2 linked regions of the Saccharomyces cerevisiae S288C genome follow. The gene in region 2 interacts genetically with the main gene of each other region. Each region holds a gene or a part of one and is shown on either strand. Other genes may lie near its edges.

Region 1 (2,780 bases), on a different chromosome or scaffold from region 2:
CATTTGATTGTGCGTCTTTAACATTGCTGGCTGACGATTCCTTTTGCTTCTTGAAAGTTCTTCCCTTAATAAGACTTAGAAAATAACGGTGGCAATCTTCATCACGGTAAAAGTAGTAGGGAGTGTTCCATAAATCGTTATCAAATAAATACTGGTTCATCTTGTATGTAATTGTCCTCCATTCTTTCCCCTTTACCGTAGGTTTCCGTGTGATAATTTCCATCAGTAGCTTACATTTGAAATCTTCATCACTGATCTGTGGTCCAAACCTGAGTATTAGAACTATCACTAAAATGCCAGAGAATATGAGGAGAAACCCTACAGAAACCCCAACGCAATTTTCGTTATCATGAAAAAGAATAATTATTGAGATTAAAACCCCAATTACTAGAGACAAAAGCATGACCGGTGTACAGTGAGCTGCTTCATATATCCAATAACTCAAGTACGAATGGAATATGTCCTTAGGAAGAGCCACATTTTCCTCGATTAAATATGCACCGGGTTCGTCGAGAGAATCCGACTTGGCGTTGGTATTTTCTGAAGGGGTTTGCATGTTGAATTGATATCTTGTCTTGTGTAAGGTTATTATATGGTTTTGGAGGTTGTTATGCTGATTCGAATTACGACTTGATCTTGATACTAATTGAGCTTTGACGAAATATTTTAGCAATTCAGAACCCCTTTCATATTCTTTTTCTTCTTTTCATTTTTAGAGGCGTTATTTCACTAATAGGTACAGCCTCCGAAATAATACGTAATTGAAGATATGATAATAACAGTACGAGCCTTTTACAGGGCCATTATGATCATGAGTGAGATCCAGAAAAGCACATTGCATGGCAGTCGGATGTTGAGAATTGGGGGAATTTTGAGATAATTGTTGGGATTCCATTGTTGATAAAGGCTATAATATTAGGTATACCTAATATACTAGAAGTTCTCCTCGAGGATATAGGAATCCTCAAAATGGAATCTATATTTCTACATACTAATATCACGATTATTCCTCATTCCGTTTTATATGTTTCATTATCCTATTACATTATCAATCCTTGCACTTCAGCTTCCTCTAACATCGATGACAGCTTCTCATAACTTATGTCATCATCTTAACACCGTATATGATAATATATTGATAATATAACTATTAGTTGATAGACGATAGTGGATTTTTATTCCAACAATCTCAACATTCACCCATTTCTCACATTTATCTCAAAATCCACCCATTTCTCAATAATATATATGGTAAGTAACCAGTTGTCAAAACAGTTTATCAGATTAATTCACGGAATGTTACTTATCTTATATATTATATAAAATATGAATCATACTAAGTGGTGGAAGCGCGGAATCTCGGATCTAAACTAATTGTTCAGGCATTTATACTTTTGGGTAGTTCAGCTAGGGAAGGCCGGGTTTTATCTCATGTTGTTCGTTTTGATATAAGGTTGTTTCATATGTGTTGTATGAACGTTTAGGATGACGTATTGTCATACTGACATATCTCATTTTGAGATACAACATTTTCAGTTAATTTGTTTCCGATATAGTGTAACGGCTATCACATCACGCTTTCACCGTGGAGACCGGGGTTCGACTCCCCGTATCGGAGTATTTTTTTGAAAGTTTTTTTTCACGTTAGTTCCGTGAAGAAAATTTTTTTTCTTCATTTCGGAGAAAAAACAAGGAAGGAGAAAGATTTAAGAGTGATAGCTAGATCATGTATTCCTTAATACGAAGGAGAGACCTGGATTTTTCTCATATTATTATGTCTCACTGCCTACTTAACAAAGACATTTACCTTTGAACTGCAATTAAAGTAAAGTAAAAAAATTAAGAATAAAAAGAAAAATGGGTGCTTGGTTATTTATCCTTGCTGTTGTTGTCAACTGTATCAATTTGTTTGGCCAAGTGCATTTCACAATACTATACGCTGATTTAGAAGCTGACTATATCAATCCAATTGAATTATGTTCTAAAGTTAACAAGTTAATTACCCCTGAAGCCGCCTTGCATGGTGCTTTGTCATTACTATTCTTACTGAACGGTTACTGGTTTGTATTTTTATTGAACTTACCAGTTCTAGCTTACAATCTAAACAAGATCTACAATAAAGTTCAACTTTTGGATGCTACCGAAATATTCAGAACTTTAGGCAAACATAAAAGGGAGAGTTTCCTAAAGTTAGGTTTCCACTTATTGATGTTCTTCTTCTACTTGTACAGAATGATCATGGCTTTGATTGCTGAAAGTGGTGATGACTTCTAATCCAACAAGACATTGAAATCCAAAGAAGACTGAAGGGCCAAGAATAATAGACATACTTAATGGCCGCCCATAGATTGGAGGAAAACTGAAGATAAAAAAGATAAATACACAGAATGTATTAATTCGTGCTTCCCTTTTTTCCTTTTTTGCTTTTTTTCTCAATTGTCGGTGGGAGTTATCAATTTTTTTCGTTATTACCAGCATCTATTAAAGTAAAATACCGGTGAATATCGGTAAATAATAGGTTACTGTATAAATGTACATATAAATATTTGTATAGTTAGTATGCCATACAAAATAAAAAAAAAAAAAAAAAAAAACTAAAAGGTTGAGAACTTAAGGGTGAGCATGACTGTGAAATTTTGAAGAGATGCAGTAAGCCATCCCATATCTATTGCTCCAGGGCCCAGAAAAAAAAAATAAAAAATAGAACTTAAGTTGAAACTTAGTGCAAAAGATATATAATGAAAAAAGATAACCAAATCTGAATCTAAATGAAAATGAAA
Region 2 (3,764 bases):
TACAAGTTACATGTAGAGAAATCGAGACGAGATTGCTGGCACAATGCACCCAACTGCATGTGCCATTGTGCATCTACACCTCCAAATTAGGGTGTCGATTGGCGTCGTCTTCTTTAATGTGGGTGCATTTTGCGGCGGCGCGACAAATATAGAGAACTGACCAAGGCAGTGCTGTCAAGAAGAGAGAATGGTTACGGCAGCGAAGACGCAAATGGGCTAGGCAGAATGGCATTCAAGTTATGGCTACTGGATGAGGAAACAATATACGAGCACGTGTTCGAACGGTACACACAATTGGAGGGCCAGTCCGGGAAACTGGCGCAGGATTTGGGTATTCAGGATAGAAGGGGCGGTGTGCTAGAGATAACGTTTGAACCCTCTGGGCTGGAAGGCGGCAGAAAAAAAAAGCGAGTGAGAAGAAGAAATAAGGCTAGTAGTGTTGAAGAAGATCAGAATGTTGCTGTGGATAGCTATCATGTTAGCGTGGGGCAGTCCATATCAAGCTTGCGCTCGTCCAGAGACAACGGAAACTCCACCACAGGATACGTTTTGTGGTCTACCACACCTTTCTTCATCAACTGGCTGCTGTATAGTACTAGCGCTGCACCTTTCCGTCTTGGGAGTCAGGTGGAAGTAACCTGCGGGTCTTCTTGCGAGGGGCACAAGCTTGAGTTGCCCAGGCTGGTCGACCTCACGGGCGCTGATCGCGGCAAGAGAGGTATCTTGGAACTTGGAGCAGGAATATCAGGTATTTTGCCCGTGATTCTTGGTAACTTCGTCGACACCTACGTGTCGACAGATCAGAAGGGCATTCTTAATAAATTAAAAGATAACATCATGGAAAACTTATCACAGTTGACCAGAAAGCGGTGCATTTCCCGATCACTAAGATTGGAACTTCCCACCGTCGAACCAGTTGGCGACGCTGATATCACCGCAGCGTCACTTCCATCTAAGTCTACGTTGCATTTGGAAGTAGCCGCTCTAGACTGGGAGAAGATAAACTTGCAAGACAAAAAGACCCACTCTCTGCATCCTGAGTTGTCACTCATAGGTGAAACATGTTCTTCCGTGTACGTTATAGCTATGGATGTCATATACAACGAGTACCTGATAGATCCGTTTCTGAAGACGCTCAAGCAACTCAAACACTGGTTACAAACTACCTACAATTTGCAATTCCATGTCCTCGTGGGGATACACTTGCGGTCACAAGAGGTGACAACACTGTTCTTGGAGAAAGCCATCATAGAATATGACTTCACGGTTTATGATATCGTTGACCAGGTCATACAAGAGTCCCGTTTTAACTTTTATCTTATCACCTAGTCCCATATATAATAATAGAAACAATATAATGCTGATAATCTTATTTTTCTTTGCGATGCGGCAGTGCCTCTTCCCCTCCGTACGGATTGGGAAGATTTTCATTTTTGATTAGCAAGGGCACTAAGCCAACTCTGTGTGATATAGCTAATAATCTAAAAGCTGCTGGATCCGTTATCGTCAAGATAAAGCGGACTTAGCGATTTACATAGGATCACACTTTCTACACACATTTGATTTTTAAGCTTCATTTTCCACTGCACTTATTTTTCCCAAGCATCGTGTTTTTTTGTACATTATAAAAAAAAATCCTGAACTTAGCTAGATATTATGGCTATCTGGGAGCAACTAGAAGTCTCAAAGGCGCACGTTGCTTATGCATGTGTTGGTGTCTTTTCATCTATCTTCTCTTTAGTGTCACTTTATGTCAAGGAGAAGCTTTATATTGGTGAGTCCACCGTAGCAGGTATATTTGGGCTAATTGTGGGTCCTGTTTGCTTGAACTGGTTTAATCCTCTGAAATGGGGGAATTCAGACAGTATAACATTAGAGATAACGAGAATAGTATTATGTTTGCAAATTTTTGCCGTTGCCGTGGAACTGCCACGGAAATATATGTTGAAGCATTGGGTATCTGTGACGATGCTATTATTGCCAGTGATGACAGCTGGATGGCTTATTATTGGTCTCTTCGTTTGGATTCTTATACCTGGCTTGAATTTTTCTGCTAGTTTGTTGATATCTGCGTGCATTACCGCAACAGATCCTATTCTGGCGCAGTCGGTCGTCTCCGGTAAGTTTGCCCAAAGAGTACCTGGTCACTTAAGAAATCTACTGTCTGCAGAGTCAGGCTGCAATGATGGTATGGCCTTTCCTTTTTTATTTCTTTCTATGAATTTAATCCTACATCCCGGTAATGGAAGAGAAATTGTCAAAGATTGGATTTGCGTTACTATCCTGTATGAGTGTTTGTTTGGATGCTTGCTAGGTTGCTTCATTGGTTATGTAGGCAGAATCACCATCAGGTTTGCCGAAAAGAAAAACATTATCGATCGTGAGTCGTTCTTAGCATTTTACGTTGTCCTGGCGTTCATGTGTGCTGGGTTCGGCTCCATTTTGGGTGTGGATGACCTATTGGTATCATTTGCAGCCGGTGCGACTTTCGCTTGGGATGGGTGGTTTTCTCAAAAGACACAAGAAAGTAATGTTTCTACCGTGATTGATTTGCTACTAAACTATGCGTATTTTATCTATTTTGGTGCCATTATACCTTGGAGTCAATTCAACAACGGTGAAATTGGCACAAACGTCTGGCGTTTAATTATACTTTCGATAGTGGTCATCTTTTTACGTAGGATCCCTGCAGTCATGATATTAAGACCTCTTATACCTGATATAAAATCGTGGCGTGAGGCACTTTTTGTGGGCCATTTTGGTCCTATTGGTGTAGGTGCAATTTTTGCCGCTATACTAGCTCGTGGAGAATTAGAGTCTACCTTTAGTGACGAACCCACTCCTTTAAATGTTGTACCATCAAAAGAGGAAAGTAAACATTGGCAGCTGATAGCCTGTATATGGCCAATAACTTGTTTTTTCATTGTTACTTCTATCATAGTTCATGGTTCTTCAGTTGCAATCATAACTCTAGGTCGTCATTTGAACACGATAACGTTAACCAAAACATTCACTACACACACCACCAATGGTGATAATGGGAAAAGTTCATGGATGCAAAGGTTGCCATCGTTGGATAAAGCTGGACGATCATTTTCATTGCATCGTATGGATACTCAAATGACTTTATCAGGGGATGAAGGTGAAGCAGAAGAAGGAGGAGGTCGTAAGGGACTAGCAGGAGGTGAAGATGAAGAAGGATTAAACAATGATCAAATTGGTAGCGTCGCAACGAGCGGAATTCCTGCAAGACCCGCTGGTGGTATGCCAAGGAGGAGGAAATTGTCAAGAAAAGAGAAAAGATTGAACAGAAGACAGAAACTGAGAAACAAAGGTAGAGAAATATTTTCATCAAGATCTAAAAATGAAATGTATGATGACGATGAGTTGAATGATCTGGGACGAGAAAGGTTGCAAAAAGAAAAGGAAGCACGCGCCGCCACATTTGCATTGAGCACAGCCGTCAATACACAACGTAATGAGGAGATTGGAATGGGTGGAGATGAAGAAGAAGATGAGTACACACCGGAAAAGGAATATAGCGATAATTACAATAACACACCAAGTTTTGAGTCGTCTGAAAGATCTTCATCTCTCCGAGGAAGAACTTACGTACCAAGAAACCGTTACGATGGAGAAGAGACAGAAAGCGAGATTGAAAGCGAAGACGAGATGGAAAATGAAAGTGAAAGATCAATGGCCAGTAGTGAAGAGAGGAGAATTCGAAAAATGAAAGAGGAAGAAATGAAACCTGGTACTGCTTA

The links. A genetic interaction does not mean that the proteins touch.
Region 1: of NHA1 (region 2) and ERV14, extra expression of one rescues a mutant of the other (dosage rescue), as found in Saccharomyces cerevisiae (4 studies listed by BioGRID, with this or other methods).

Annotation. Positions count from the first base shown.
Region 1 is NC_001139.9:400,365-403,144, reverse strand, and holds ERV14 (cornichon family protein), read left to right. Parts: upstream 1-1,857; coding exon 1,858-2,274; downstream 2,275-2,780. Other genes in the region: pheromone-regulated DUP240 family protein PRM8, read right to left, coding at 1-556. UniProt on the Saccharomyces cerevisiae protein: Could regulate export of the bud site and axial growth sites selection protein AXL2 and possibly other secretory proteins from the endoplasmic reticulum in COPII-coated vesicles. Seems to be required for axial budding pattern in haploid cells.
Region 2 is NC_001144.5:416,781-420,544, forward strand, and holds the start of NHA1 (Nha1p), read left to right. Parts: upstream 1-1,656; coding exon 1,657-3,764. Other genes in the region: RKM5 (S-adenosylmethionine-dependent methyltransferase), read left to right, coding at 226-1,329. UniProt on the Saccharomyces cerevisiae protein: Sodium export from cell, takes up external protons in exchange for internal sodium ions. Also capable of exporting potassium ions.